3 linked regions of the Neodiprion lecontei genome follow. The protein of the gene in region 1 purifies or fractionates together with the protein of each later gene. This does not show direct contact. Links are inferred from orthologs where the notes say so. Each region holds a gene or a part of one and is shown in the gene's direction. Other genes may lie near its edges.

Region 1 (4,638 bases):
GTAAATTTGATATTCATCAGGAGTTTGATTCTCTTACTGTTGCATCCTGAAGATTTGCTTTTAAATTCAAGTGTTTCAAATAGCATTGATACCCTAATAAGGCAACATGCGTTTGTTTTGAGAAAGTATAAGAAAACTCGGAATGAAATGAATTGTACTAACAGGTTCGTTGAAATTTCTTTTATGTTCTGGGAAATCCCAAGGGTAATAATCATCCTTGGCTTCAGCCGAGACCATAGGAAGTTCTGGATAATCTCCTAAACCATTTCCATCATCTGGAATTGGTTTATAATCTTCTTTTATTAGGTTATATTTCTCTGCTGCTTTAGCTCTTTCTTCTTCTGTTGTTGGATATTGGGCTGGTTTATAGTCCCTGATCATACCTGAACAGAAAAGATTTTATCATAATTTATAATACGTTTAAATGAGTTGAACTTTGTGACCGTATAGATATTATAAATATTTGATTTCGTTGGACGACGGTCAGGGTTGGAATGATGGTCAATAAGCAATGAATTTTATTTTCCGTACATTTTGGCAGGTCCTGATGATGGTCGGCTGGGCCTGCCGAAACGTCGTACAGAAGATAAAATTGATTGCTTAATGTGCATCATTCCAACCCTAACCGTCATCCAACGAAATCAAATATTCATAACACGTTTAAAAGAATGTTTTGTTAATTCGTAACAGTTAGCTTTCAGTTCATTACCTAATATGCATGAAACAATTTAATGAAATTATTTATCAGGCCATTTAAAGCAGGTACAGTAATGAAATCTCATTGCATCTGTTTTGAAACATACATTCTGGCATTTTGATGACATAAATATGTATTAGCTGTTCATATGGAGTTAAGCTGCCCGTGAGAAAGTTGAAGATATCAAAAAAGATATGTATCGTAATATCGAGGAGCAGGAAAAGTAAGCTACACATTAATTTTCGTTAAAATCTGTAATGCAAAGTAATAAATTATGTAATTGATGGACATAACCTCTACGGTGTGCGTTTACTCCAGTAACTTCATTCGCACTCACGAAATATTTCACACAAATATATTTTTATGGTGTTCTGTTTACACTTACTGTATTTCGCTATATTATACGTGTAGACACCGTTTTGTGGCCATAATCGGGTCGAAATTTTACAGAACTTCGCGAGAGAAGACATTTTTGATAACTCAGGCCTTTCCGGCTCTGACCACCAACTATAGAAACTCCGTCTCTGTGGCTACGGGCTCTACGGAGGCGCGGCGTTGAACGCGTTCTAGCCATGGACTAAAGCCATAGACTATCGTAAGCGTTGACTGAACTCACTGATATGTAACAGTAACCAAACAAGATCAACACAAAAGACAATCTAAAGCCAGAGTTGAATCAAATGTCCGCTATCTCTTGCTTTTTTCATTTTTAAAAACGACATTTCTCAACGCTTTTTATACCCATATATAGCGATTTGAGCCATAAAATGGGTAAAACATCGATTGGGTTCGTATGGTAAAGATGGCCTGAAGATGGATTCGCACCGCTGTTTTTATGTATAAACATTCAGCATACGATTGGCGATAGCAGCGCCACTAGCGTCTGAACGAGCGAGAATGCGGGAAAGAAAGATGGCCGGCGGCTTGTGTTATTCGGTGGGATTTGTCGTGTAGTCGCGGTCAAGATTGCTTTCTCCTATTTAGGTTGAAATATTACAAGTTTACTGCATGAACGTAGTGGAAACTATTCGTCGTATGTTCGGCGGAAGCCCGAGCTAAGAGTTAAAAAGGTACGAGTCGTCTTTACAGACATATTCATGAATGTATGTCTTACGTTTTTGCGTAATGGCCAAAAGGGACTCCGATTCGCTCGAGTGTGTTTGTGCTTCAACTTTGTTGACGATGAAATTCTAGTTGAAATCGTCACGATTTGAAACTAACTCATTGAATAATATAATTGAGGTACCAAGTTTTCCGTAAAGCGTACATTATCTGAGACGTACACAGAGTGTTGAGTAATATTTGACGACGAAGCCGTGAGTTTGGTGTCACACACACATAATTGTGTTCCATCAATCCAAGTTTTTCGCCTCACCCTGCCTTACGAACCACTGTCGTATTTTTGATAGTTTTTTTTTTTAACTCTCTCAATTTTCTTAGGTATTATGAATTACGTCATTTTGTGTCTTCTTTTTTTGCTATTAAATATGCAGACTTTTTGTCATCAGCTTTGTTGTTAACTTGTAAATGTGAAATGAGGTTACATTTGACGGGTTCTCGTACTCGTGATCATAATCCTGACAAAAGAATTATCAGTTTAAGCCAGAAAATTTCGATAATCTTTGACTAATTAAATAAATACCACTTTAAACCATCAATGAAATAGGCACTATGCTCAAAATCACAATTGTAAGAAACTTACCTCGCACACCCAGATATGCAGTCGATGTATCAGTTGCCATTATTCTGTGATGCAACGTCACCTTGGTTGTTTGTGCACTAACGCGAAGCATAAATTCTTCATAAAATAAACTTTGTGTCTTTCCCATGTATTTTGATCTAGGAAGCTATGCAATCGTGACTGAAACATCTTGTGATTCGTTCATGTTGAAAACCACGGGTTCATTCTAATGGAAATATTTCTGAAAAGCAATTCTGTTAATCTTTGGAATATAAGCAGTATTACAGTTGTTAATGATTCTACTTTTGTTGAACGGAATGGACTTGGAAAAATCAGGGATGCTGAGAGAGTCAACCGAAAAAAACATTATCGTTTCCAAAATATTTTTTCTGCATTCTTACGCAAACCTTATTAAAAATTAAATTCCTGTCCGAGTCTTCCATAAAAGGAACTTCGAATTTATATCCTAATGTTTGTCTAACTTTGGTTTCATTGGTAATGAGATTTATTTTTCAGAGTCCCAGTACTGAATAAGCTGGAGTCTGATAGAAACAGCATGGCGAGCCCCTCGCCCCAATCGTCTCCCATGCCACCCCCACAAGCACCAAGTCCAATGGGCCCTCCCCAACAAGCTCCATCCCCGTCCAATCCTCAAGGCAGTCCAATGGGTCCTCCACAACATCATCCTCATAGTCCAACTCAAGGATATCAGGGCGGTCCACCAATGCCGCAGCAACAGCAGCCTCCCCCACAGCAACAAGGGTATCCTCCACACCCGCAGCAAATGCCACCAAATATGGGACCTCAGGTGAGATGTTTTTAAATTCAAATCATCGAATGAAGCTAAAGTCTTCAGAATTCACAATGGGATGTGTTAATCATTGTATGCTATTTCTCCTCGCCGGATTCGGTTCTTAAAGATAAGTTGAACGTGGAGTAATCAAATTATATGTTAGCTTGTATTGATATGAAAATCTAGTGAAATGCTTCTTGGAACAAATTTATTTTGTAGACGGTTCAAGGGAATTGAAATGCTCATTGCGTGAAGAGTTTAAATTTAGTAGTTATAATTCAAAAGATCAATTAAACGAAGAGAATGAAGAACAAGTGAAGAACTTGGACATATATACGACGATTTTTCTATTCTCTTCTTTCCGTTATTTGCTTATTTGACACTGCTAATTGTCATAAATCGCTGTGCTGAACTTGATATTGGAAGTTTTAAGATGAATAGTTACAGAAGTTTGGAATTACACAGTACAAGATATAAAGGGAAGTTTGTTAAAGATCTGAACTTATCTGCAACAAGAAGTCAGATATTTTTTCCTGACCGATGCTGTCTGTTTTCTTGAATAGATTGACAATTTGTTCAGCTATTTCACGGTTACAAGCTGCAATCACTTTTGGGTTCATCAAATCTAAAACTCCACCTGAAAAAAGAATCCATTTCAAGTCCATAAATTAATTTGAAGAATTCTGTACATAGATGAATGTAGACGATCCGTCAAATTCTATAATGTTGATTTTCTGCTTCCTCATCATAGATTATTCTGTTTTCAATATTTAGAATGTTTATATTAGTATACATTCTTATCAATTCTCCGTTGACAGAAGAGAAGAAAAAAAATATTTCCCTCGATTACACACACCATAAATTATATGATCTTACCAGTAGTATCCACAACCATCCCTCCAGCCTCTTCGATGATTAATTGTCCGGCAGCCACGTCCCATGGGTCTATGCCTTCGATGTGATATGCTTCGATTGCACCCATCGCTACGTAGCATAGACTTAGCGCAGCCAGTCCCAGAGATCTAATTCTGAAATAATTTGTTGATAGTTTCATTCGAAATTATACTTACACGCAACTGTTCAACTATGAGAGTTTCTTTCGATTAATACAGCTTGTAGTCCTTGAATTTTTTCTAGTACCAACCCGTGAGTCTTCTGAATTAGAAAATGTGTTCTGCTATACAAACTTGAGGTATGTTCTTCATTTTTGGCTAACCATGGCTCGATTCCGACAAGAGCATGCGAAAGGTCTGAAACATCCAATTTTGTGTCAATTCTGACATTTTTGTTCGACAAATGTTCAATTTCAATTAATTGTACTTTCGATTTAGGAGAGACGGTACTTGTATCACATTTTGTGGTATATTTATTTTTTTGTCAACTCCTTGGCTTGCACTGGCAATTAAAATTATCAGCCATTGTTACTTATTAGTGTGAGATAATATTTCACTAGGTTAACGATGGTAA
Region 2 (4,875 bases), on another chromosome or scaffold:
GTTCAGCATCGAGTAATATAATAGCTGTGAAGGGCACAAAGGAACATAATCCTGTTATTGATGGTTTGACTGAAAAGAGTAGTAAAGACGACATACGATTTGAACAAAAGTATGCCGATTATGAAAATCTGTGTAAACAATTTCGAATTAATCAACATAACGTTACGTCCAGAGAAACAGAAATGTTGTCCTATATCCACAACCTAAAGAAAAAGCTTTTTCGATTTCAGAAGAATAGATATCAAACATTGGCCGCTATCGAGCAAAGAGAATATCTTGGTATCAGTAATCTATCGACTATTCAAAAGCGATTTATAGAAACACAATTGAGGAATTCTAACAAGACGTCTAAAAAACCAAGGTTTACTAAAACAGATATAGTTATGGCTAGGGATATACTTAAGGCAACTGGTCCGAGGGGTTACAATAATTTGAGAAAACTTTTCTCCCTTCCTGGCATAAGCATTATTGTTAAAGGAATTTCTAAAACTTAAAGACAAGTTGAGTTTGCGAAATTATTTGGGATACAATGAGAGCTAAACCCCAGAAATGTTGGTAAAAAAAGCCTGATTGTAAACAGTAAAAGATTTTATCCAGAGGGATAATCCGAGATCAAGATGTTTTAGAGACTGAATTACCACTGAAGAGTAACTAATGTAATTCTAATTTCAAAATTACACTATATTTTAATTATTTAATTACGTTCTGTGACCTCAAAGTGTTCAAAACTGTGACAGTTATGAAATTACACAGTCTAATTATTCTATAATCACTTGATTTAAAACTGCAACTGAAAAGTCTTTTACGGTTTGAACGTTGGACTTTGTAATATTATCAATTCCATAATTATGGCATTGTACTTTTTAATTTTATTCAACACGTTTGTTAGCTAAATATGAACCAATTAGAAGGCCATGAGTATTTTTTACGTGCAATAATTGACCGTTAAATTAGTTTAGTTGTATGTATATGACATGCATGAAAATTGTATAAATGTAACTATGCAAGGAGTATAATTTGCGTTTAGAGAAATTGTTATGTATACTCATAATAATGAATAAAATCCGTATCATATCGATATTCTCGAGTATCACCTATACATGAGTGTAGTCTTAACTCAGTTGCAATTGAAAAGTTGAAGAGCTCAAATAAATGCACAAATTACACTCTGGAATTTTTTCTGAGTGACTGAATATTTTTTCAATCACCATCCTTCATCATGACACTTAATACAGCTGTAAATTGAAACAGACACCTATTTGTAAAAACATTAATCTACAACTTGAAATTAATGTATCCACAAATTTTTAGAATCTCAGCTAATGGTATTGAATTATACAAATAAAAGTTGAAATTTTAATGGTACGTACATACATCTCATTGAATTTACTTGGCATCAACTTATTTTGATACTCAATTGAAAATGAATAAACAATCAATCTTTTAGTGGAATTCAGGAATTTATAATTTCAGAACTGAAAGCTGTCATCATATGTAATTCAACTGCATGTTGGCGCGAAACTTTACACTTGTTATTTTTGTCCAATTTTCAACACTAGTTAGTTAACGAAGCACTGGCCCACATCACTGGCTAGACTCTACAGAAACCCAGAATCAGAACCACGGACGTGGAAATAGTGAAATGATGTAGTTATTAGCTTGGTTATTCAATGATACCAGTAACTTGTTATTCAATTTTTTTAATCTACGAATTCCCGTTACGGTGGTTCTATTCAGTTTCATACAGTCTGGCCGCAACTTTCGTGATGTAGCACACAACGTAATATGGCCGCTACCTCGGTTTTACTACTGAAATGTATTATAAATATTTCAGTGGGTTTCCTCTCACGTCTCTAGCAGCTCGACAAATCTATCCCGTGGATGTGAGCTTGGATAGGAAATCTTGATTCTGATCAGGAAGTAGATATTGCGGCAGGCATGGTGGTCACCTCTCTATTTGTATACCTTGTAAACTCAGGCAAGTAACGTTACTTAAAGTTGCATTAGATTTACTTCCACATGCAATTAAGTTATAAATCAATACTTCAGGATCCGGTAAGTGTAGAGCGATAAATTCAGCTTGATTTTGTTATTTTTTTAATCCATTAATTCGACTAGCTTTGGATCACATTCCTGCATCTAATGTAAGATGCATAGTGTACATGGTCTACTGTATTTAACATGGCGTCATGCGGCGTAAAAATAAACAATATTTCTTTACGATTTTCAGGCTCACAACGATGAATAAACGCCGTCGAACTTCGTCCGTTGCAAGTCGTGGTACTGAGGATGATCCCGACGACGTACAACCGGAACCAACGAAACGACGACGAAAATTAGATCCGGTAACATTGCCCTGTCATTTTCTGATATTACGGACGCAATCTATAAACAATAACTTATTGATTCAATTCATACTAATATAATAGAATGGGAAAAAAATTACAATGGTCGGCAGATTGTTGTAGATATGGCTCTGAAGATATACTTAAAATAATTTCAAATTCGGAGACCTTGTAAATGCAAGTTGATCCATCTGCGAAAGACAAATGAAATGACAGAAATATCTTTGTGAAACTTTCACACAGACATACTTGCAACTTGGTAGAAATATTGCTTCCCTTTATAGTAATTATATCATCGAATTTAGCTGTATTCATTCAACACTTTCCATTAATATCTTGCTTCTTGTAAAGTTGGATTCCAGTTTGAATATGCGATGCCGTTGTATTATAGGTTGGATTAGCCAAATTTCAATTAGAGATTTATCATTGCAGAGTGATCTTTGCCAGCAGCTCTATGATGTTCTTCGTAATCAAAAAAGAGAAGATGGAACACTGTTGTGTGATGCTTTTATTCGCGTACCAAAACGCAGACAGGAACCTGGTTATTACGAAGTTGTTACAAATCCAATTGATTTGTTGAAAGTTCAGCAAAAGCTCAAAACCGATGAATATCGAGATATGGATGATTTGGCAGCTGACATTCAACTTATGGTTAATAACGCTAAAGCTTTTTACATGGTATGTATTTTTTCCAAATCAACAACTCGTAATTGAATTTGATGGTTAAAAGCAATGAATTAGAACAAAGATTGATTTATTACCTAGAGCTAAGCAATCGATTTACATTTTGATTGCCCGTAAGGTAAAACTGCTCATAGTTACAGTTTATCCTGTTTATTGATATACATATAATAATGCGGTAACTTTTGACATTTTGTCTAGCGGACTTCTCCAGAGTACAAAGATGCAACGGAATTGTGGGAATTATGTCTGAATACTAAAAATCGGATAATGGAAGAATATGAGGATTCTGAACCAAAGGGGAAAATAATTCTTAAGGTTGGCAGACTGGTAAGATAATGCAAAAAACACGTGAGTTATATATACAAGAAGCTTAATATTAATATGTCCTTTATCAGGCACGGAAAGTAACAACTCGTCAGGATGACGCTGAGGACACTTCTGAAAGCTCTACCAACCCTGATGAAGAGTCTATGCAACCATACGAGGATTTGTTTGCTGCGGTCATGGCTGCAACAAATCCACAAGACAATAACAGACCACTACATATTCCATTTCAATTGAAACCTTCCAAGAAAGTTTGTATTTTCACTGAACAATCCAATTTTGTTGTTACAAATTTTATGTCTATTTGAATTTTTCATTTTCTTGTATAGTCAACGAATGTGGTTGCAATATGAGAATTGTGATGTTCCATTACGCGCCAGGAAAATTGCAATAGAAATACACATTTTACTGCTTCACAAATTACCTGAAATTGAATAGTGTGAAATTTAATTTGCAGCTGTACCCTGAGTATTATGAGATAATTGAGAATCCAGTGGATTTGAAGACAATCGCACGCCGGATTCAAGAAGGAGCGTATGCTGGACTGATTGAAATGGAAAGAGATCTCATGCTCATGTGTCGCAATGCTTGTCAGTTTAATGAACCAGGTTCTCAAATATACAAGGATGCTAAAATGTTGAAAAAGATAATCGTTTCTGCAGCTAAAAAACAGGAATCTAGCGCTACTGGTATGGTACCGAAGCTCACTTCTACTGCAACTTCTACTAGAAGTAAAAGAGGAAGAAGTGCTGGCCAGTCCCTTGTAGCAGTGACTGCTGCACTTGCAGATGAAGATGAAGATGAAAGTGATGACGAAGAGGAGGAAGCTAATGACGGAGAAGAGTCTGACAATCCACAGTGGCAGTTATTTCAGACCATAAAAACTGCCCCAAACAGTCAAGGTGTGTTTCGTTTTGTTTCAATAAAGGTAGAATATCTTCAACAATTAACCTCGAGTTGTGAATATAGGTTTCTTGATTGAAAATCTTTTGCTAGTAAATTAACTTATTTATGTATGTGATATTCATTTATATGAGTGAAAGTGGTGAATTAGACAATATTTTATTTTGGATCTACAGGCGTCCGGATGAGTGAATACTATTGGAAATTACCATCTAAACGATTATATCCTGATTATTACAAAGCAATAAAAAATCCAATATCACTATATCAAATACGGACTAAAATAAAGGTGAGATACAAAAACCCATGTAAAAGGAACATTTCTTACAATTCCAATGCATGTATCGACTGACGATTTGATATGCAAAAACATCAATAAATGAGCTGACACATATTAGTTTGTTCAACTTACATACATATATGGATTTCTTTCATAGAAGGGGGAATATGGCACTGTCAGTGAGGTTGCAGGTGATATGAATATCATGTTTGAAAATGCTAAAAAGTATAACGTCCATACGTCTCGTTTGTATAAGGTAAATTTGCATTGCAGAAATCTATTTGATTGAAATAAGCAGGAAATAAAATTATATGTTTTCATAGTGTGCCGCCAAGTTAC
Region 3 (6,249 bases), on another chromosome or scaffold:
GACCCAAAAAATAATGCCGTTTGTACCCGTCACCGAGGGAGGCTCAAAATAATGAAACCTGCCAATATCTTATGTATTTTTTAGTGATTCTTGTAGGACCAGCATAACCTCAATGGAGTGACTAGTGCGAGAATATGAGTAGCTAGGATCGAAATATATTCAGTAAAAAAATGGGCGAATAAAAAGTTAATATTCTCAGTCATCCCAGGAAAAACTATTTCTCGGATGCGGCATCATAACCTCTAAATGAAAGTCAACGAGTGTTAAAAATAGCATTCGCGATTATAACTGATAATGATGATGATGATAATAAATAAACACCTGAAAGTAATACTTGCCTGCAGTGGTCTGGTTACTATCGTGGAAGTAAGTTTCAATGAAGACAATCAAATTATTATTAATCTTCGCAATTTTGATCCCACAGTAAACACAGCAATCACATGTTTTCAAGCCGATCTGATTTCAAATATTGCGGCTTGTTGACACTAAAACCCAATCTGGCACGTGTTCCGTAACACGTTACCAATCTTCGGATTTGCGTTCCGCATGCGAGTAAAATAACCCGACGACACCGTTTCCAGCGTGTAATTTAAATCCGGAAAAATTATTACAACGTTGCTGAATTGAGAAATCATATCTCTTTACGTTGCTTACCAACTTGGAGCATATGCATACCAACAATGATATGAATAAATAATAATTAGGTGTATGGCAAAGCTTGCGCACGTGAAGCTCAAGCTTGAATGAGAAGATAGCAAATAAATTACGTTCATACGTGTACACAGATGACAAATGCAGTATATCATATTTTCGAACAGAAGTATATATGTATGTGCAAATGTTCATATTATACCTGGATGTCCATGTAATGAAGAAAGAACAGTTCGATGTACGTTCATCTTTTCTTCGGGAGAATTGAACAATTCGTTTTCACTACGCGCACTCGAGTCCGAGGATATCCTAACTATAAACGATCACTTTTCACCTGTAAACATCTGAACTCTACGTTTGCAGATACACGAAACGAAAATCAAACTGGAAATTTTTTTTCATTTTGAGGGCGGAATAGACTCGTTTATTTTTTATACCGTTTGGATAATACACTACGTAAATACCACTGCGGACAGTATCACAAATGTATCACAAATTTGTTAATATTTTTAATTCAAAACTAACAAACTTACCGTCAAAACTTTATTCTTTACAGCGCGAGAAAGAATTCGGACTTGGAACTGATCAACAACATGGCTTCCCGATCGTCTATCAATTGTTTATTCTAACGTCGCGGACTTGGACAAAAAACCGTTGACCTAAAACTCGAATAACGCTATTCACCAAAGTTCAATTATATTAACTCAGGTTTTATGTTAATATATAACAAAGATAATCAATAAAAACAAATACTTACATGAGTATTGTCGACTAAAGTCCTAAAAGTAGACCCGATCGGCATTAAAAGCAGATGAGACTCCGGTCCGTTGCCAACGTCACACCGATCATGTTGTAAGCGTGATCCGCCATCTCTTGATGATTTTTGTAAGTTCAAAAGCTAGACGCCATCTACGAGATGCGTGCTGACAACTATGCTTTTTTAATGTGGGCATGTACGAGCAATCTATGAAATTCTGAAACCTCGCCCGACGCTTCGGCGTTTTGTACCGTGAATTGTAAATTTTCGTTACTCTCTAACTTTGATTCAGTATGAGGTTTTACTCCTGAAACGATTGACGGTGGTTTCTTACTTACAAAGTAAGTACTTTCATTTATTCGTAATGCTTTATTCGATTTTTCCTTTCCTTCGAATTGGACAGCAGAGGCTTACGTGTACGGAATTTAGCTCATTGCCAGCAACAGCTTAGCACAGTTTTCATACATAATGTTCATTTCCCAAAGTCGGATTTCCAGGAACTCGATTGGATTAATTTACAGACAATTCGAACGGAGTTGTAACCTTCTGTTAACTATTTTGCAAGCGGCGGAAATGATATTTACTCAGAAACTGGAGCTTCTGATATTTTCCCACGATTTCATATATTATCACAAATCTTTGATTGCAGTAGATTGTGAAAAAATTAATTTTTCGACAAACCCAAGTTAATTGTTTTCAAGAATACCGTCTTTCAACGATTCATTCATTAATTTTCAAATGTACAGGTAAAGGATGGCGTTACCGCAGAATTACAAACAAGTGGCGATGGCGTCGTCAAATGTTGTTTCTAGCAATCGTATGTATAATAAACCTAAAGTGAACATCATGCGCATAGACAAAATTGAATGCTGAAATTATAACTGTTGGATATTTTTAACAGAACGATTACGGGCTTCCGGTGCCAGTGGTAGTTCTAGTACAGGGGTATGTTATCAAGCAATCTTTCTCATACGCATCAGTCAAACATCTCTGATCCAGAAATTTAATCATGACATTATTTGCAGAAAGATGCGCAGACCCCTTTCATTCAAACACCTCATGGACATCCTGGATTTACCCCACAGAAAGTTGGAAAAAGCACACCGGTAGACATGCGTTTATTTACATAAAATGTTGTTCTGCCGTTGGCTGCTTACAGGATCCACAATTATGCTATATGTTTCAGGCGGATTCTAGGTTGCCAAAACCACCCAAGCCTCCAGAGAAACCATTGATGCCATACATGAGATACAGCAGAAAAGTCTGGGACCAAGTGAAAGCTCAAAATCCCGAGTTAAAACTATGGGAAATAGGAAAAATCATCGGGCAGATGTGGAGAGACCTACCGGAAGATGAGAAAACTGAATTCATCGAAGAATATGAAGCAGAAAAGGTGAGTATACTGAATTTCAAATATCGAAAACCCTTCTTCCTCATTGCTACCCACTACAGCTACATCTGAAGTTTTCAAATGTTTCTCTCTTTGAAAATTCTAAACAACTAGTAATGTTTGGTTTCAGGTCGAATATGAGAAGAGCTTAAAAACTTACCATAATTCGCCTGCATACCTTGCGTATATCGCTGCAAAGAATAGGGGAAAATCTGGTAGGTTTCAGCTAATTTTTTACTCTATCTGATATTCGTTGCATTATTGTATAACAAGACATATATAGCTCTAACTGCACTTTTCTGTGTCAGATAAGAAAATGATCTGGTATATTTAGATGTGTTTTGTCAGCTTGTGCATATCCAAACACTGAGTGTAGGATGTTTACAAACTTGTGTCTAATGCAGTGTTATGTGCAGCTCAGCAAAATAGCGATGATCGAGAAACTCATGAGCGTTCCTCTGGAAGCAGTAAAAGTCAGGCAGCCCAAGACCGACGGATAGACATTCAACCGGCGGAAGATGATGATGGTATACAATTTATCCATTAACTATCCATTTCTTCTTTTGTTAAACTGTAAGTTTTGGCCTAAGAAGTTCATAATTTGCTATCCCGAAATAAGAGGTAAGCGCAATTGGGATTTCCTAATCTGTGTTAGGTTTTGAAAGACTAATCGTATAAAGTTGACTGGATCTGTACAAACTTAGCAAACGTCGTTGAGCACCGAGTTATGTTCTATTTCTATTTATCCCTAGATCAAGACGATGGATATTCAGTCAAACACGTTGCATATTCTCGATTCGCCCGCAATCACAGACTGATAAATGAGATCTTTAGCGACACCGTTGTACCAGATGTGCGTTCTGTAGTTACTACTCAAAGAATGCAAGTTCTTCGACGCCAAGTACAGTCACTCACAATGCATCAGGTAGTCTAAACCACACGTTGTTAGTAAAATAAATATGTCTTCTATTGTAAAGCAAGAATTGCTTTAACTTATAAATATAATAAAATACTTCTGCAGAAAAAATTAGAAGCTGAGCTGCAGCAGATTGAAGAAAAGTTTGACGCAAAAAAACGTAAATTCGTTGAAGCTAGCGAAGTGTTTCAAGATGAATTAAAGAAAGTAAGTAAAAACTTGTAGTTTACAATTTTAGCATAATAATAAATTGTTGCTGATATACGTTTTATCCCATCAGCATTGTAAGCCTGCAGTAGACGAAGATGCATTCAATAAAATGGTTGAGCGTCAATACGAGTTATTACGAAGAGACAGACAAAAAGGTACCGAAGAAAATCGATCTGATGGCCCGGCTTCAAGCGAATCAACACCGAATTCCACTCCAACTCCAACTCCGGCCCCAGTTAGCGAAGAATCACAACCTGAGGTATTAATAATTTGTTATAAATATACTATGTAAAAATGGATTCTGAGTAAGAGCAGATTATTAGATGAACGGAGAACAAAGACATTCTCACATTCGAAGCTTATAATCAATTGACGTGTGTATATTTCTATAGATTACAGACAGCGAACCATCAGAAAAGAAAATGGATGTGGATCAGCCTATCGAAACGAAAAAGGAGACACTTTCACCGCCATACACAGAAGTAAAAACTGAAACAACAATGCAAACAAATAATCACTCTCCGCAGAGGTCTTCACCTGTGACATATCCGGGAGCAGTGAGCCCCATCCAGCAAACAACCGTTACTACCGCTACAAGCGTACCCCCACCCCAGCCTTCTACTCCACCAGCCATTGCTCCTGTACTTGTACCAGCACAGCCTCCACCACTGCTACTACAACAGCAACATCACCAACAACAACAACAACAGCAGCAGCAGCAACAGCAACAACAGCAGCAGCAACAGCAGCAGCAACAACAGCAGCAGCAGCAGCAACTACCACCACCACCACCTCAGCCGCAACCTCAAACTCAACCTCAGCAACAGCAACAGCAACAGCAACAGCAACAGCAACCTCAACCTCCTCCATCGCATACCCCCCATCAACAAAACGTTCTTCCCAATCATTCGATTCCTCCCCATCAGAATCACACTCTACCCTCTCAAGCGACACCTCCGCACAATCAAAACATGCCGCCCCAAACAATGCCTTCCCAAAATGCAATGCCACCAAACCCTCACGTGAACTCAATGATACCCACCGGTCAGAGTTACAATCAGCAGTATCAACCGGCCGGAGGTCAACAAGCGCAAAATGTTCCGTTGGCTCCAAGACCGCCACATCCTTCTTATGCGTATTCTCAACAGCAGCCGTATCATCAACCTTATCCTCAATATGCTCATCCCTATTATCAATCTTATTCCCAGTATGCTCCCCATTCTATGGGTAGACCGCACTCTCACGGCCCACACAGCCCTCATAGTCCTCATTATCATCCTCAATCACCGCACAATGTGGGAGATGGAAATTCAGGTTCTAATGTTGGCTCTGATTCAGGAGCTTCGTATGCTTCGACACCTATTCACGGCGACAGAGATCGACCTCCCGAAAACCAGGCGGACAATCAAAAAATGGATACATCTGGATCAGGATAAATCCACGAAGTGTTGAATTTAGTTTGTAAGCTATTTTCAAACAAAACAACCTTTTTATTAATAATTGTATTGGAGTGGTGTTTAGTTTCGAAAAACCTATAACTGTAAGTATTCATGTCCCATTTTTGTCATTATACTAGGTTATTCTGATTTATGGTTATACAATGTTGGCTACACACTGATTAATATAGGTTGAAGTAATCTAGTATTTCATCATCATTCACACCATAATGGAAGACTAGGTAATGCTTTTAAAAACACGTATGACCTAGCTGATCTTTTCGTAGAGTGTTTAGAACGATTTCTTAACAATTGCTGATTATCATTGGAACTGATCAATATGGTAATAGAAATAAAGCTTACTCTATAAAACTGGACATTCATTTTATCATTTCGGATGCAGTAATTTAAGCGACTGTACAGAAAACGTTGCAACACATCAATTTGCATAACTCGTGAGTATAAATGTAATACATTCTTAGTATCCAGCTACAGTGATATCAAGTTTATTGACATGTTAAAAAAACGGCTGAATGCGTAGTAGTATATTCAATACCAGTCACAGGAGATTAATCGAAATAATTTGATAATTCTATTATTTTTTCCTTGTAGAAAGAGACAAGAATAGTATATTATGCAACAATAAAGTCAAAGATTATTCCTGCGGGTGGGTTTGCTACCTGAGCGAAACGAGGGCAGTAATCACCTGAAGGAATAATCGACTTGTATTTCTGTTGCATGTAAAACTTTATTCCAGGCTCAACTCTGATCACATTATTGACTTGATAGTCTTAACTTTTTATGTGCAAGTGTGATCATTTTATTAGTCTAAAGACTAGGATATTGTTGAAAATTCACAATAACACCGTACGAAATAGTTAAAATTTGA

Evidence for each region. The genes of interacting proteins can lie anywhere in the genome.
Region 2: the proteins of ATP-dependent helicase brm (region 1) and protein polybromo-1 purify together in Drosophila melanogaster (affinity purification with western blotting; 3 studies listed by BioGRID, with this or other methods). This does not show direct contact. The link is inferred for Neodiprion lecontei from reciprocal best matches to the Drosophila melanogaster genes brm and polybromo.
Region 3: the proteins of ATP-dependent helicase brm (region 1) and bromodomain-containing protein 4 purify together in Drosophila melanogaster (affinity purification with western blotting; 6 studies listed by BioGRID, with this or other methods). This does not show direct contact. The link is inferred for Neodiprion lecontei from reciprocal best matches to the Drosophila melanogaster genes brm and Bap111.

What each region holds. Positions count from the first base shown.
Region 1 is NC_060262.1:27,357,203-27,361,840, reverse strand, and holds the start of ATP-dependent helicase brm, read left to right. Parts: upstream 1-1,619; 5' UTR 1,620-1,767; intron 1,768-2,894; 5' UTR 2,895-2,934; coding exon 2,935-3,186; exon of another isoform or gene 3,187-3,659; coding exon of another isoform or gene 3,660-3,808; intron 3,809-4,047; coding exon of another isoform or gene 4,048-4,199; intron 4,200-4,315; coding exon of another isoform or gene 4,316-4,421; intron 4,422-4,638. Other genes in the region: NADH dehydrogenase [ubiquinone] 1 beta subcomplex subunit 8, mitochondrial, read right to left, coding at 163-383, 1,083-1,167; inositol monophosphatase 1, read right to left, coding at 3,660-3,808, 4,048-4,199, 4,316-4,421. UniProt on the Drosophila melanogaster protein: Transcriptional regulator. Acts as a coactivator, assisting one or more dedicated transcriptional activators of ANTC and BXC homeotic gene clusters. Can counteract the repressive effect of Polycomb protein.
Region 2 is NC_060265.1:21,313,800-21,318,674, forward strand, and holds the start of protein polybromo-1, read left to right. Parts: upstream 1-1,863; 5' UTR 1,864-1,978; intron 1,979-2,230; 5' UTR 2,231-2,240; coding exon 2,241-2,345; intron 2,346-2,777; coding exon 2,778-3,023; intron 3,024-3,227; coding exon 3,228-3,356; intron 3,357-3,424; coding exon 3,425-3,604; intron 3,605-3,810; coding exon 3,811-4,255; intron 4,256-4,432; coding exon 4,433-4,545; intron 4,546-4,693; coding exon 4,694-4,792; intron 4,793-4,859; coding exon 4,860-4,875. Other genes in the region: uncharacterized protein LOC124295063, read left to right, coding at 1-494.
Region 3 is NC_060265.1:2,667,158-2,673,406, forward strand, and holds bromodomain-containing protein 4, read left to right. Parts: upstream 1-1,609; 5' UTR 1,610-1,749; exon of another isoform or gene 1,750-1,754; intron 1,755-2,113; exon of another isoform or gene 2,114-2,154; 5' UTR 2,155-2,161; coding exon 2,162-2,225; intron 2,226-2,309; coding exon 2,310-2,353; intron 2,354-2,433; coding exon 2,434-2,514; intron 2,515-2,594; coding exon 2,595-2,801; intron 2,802-2,928; coding exon 2,929-3,013; intron 3,014-3,202; coding exon 3,203-3,325; intron 3,326-3,550; coding exon 3,551-3,723; intron 3,724-3,819; coding exon 3,820-3,921; intron 3,922-3,994; coding exon 3,995-4,183; intron 4,184-4,316; coding exon 4,317-5,360; 3' UTR 5,361-5,737; downstream 5,738-6,249.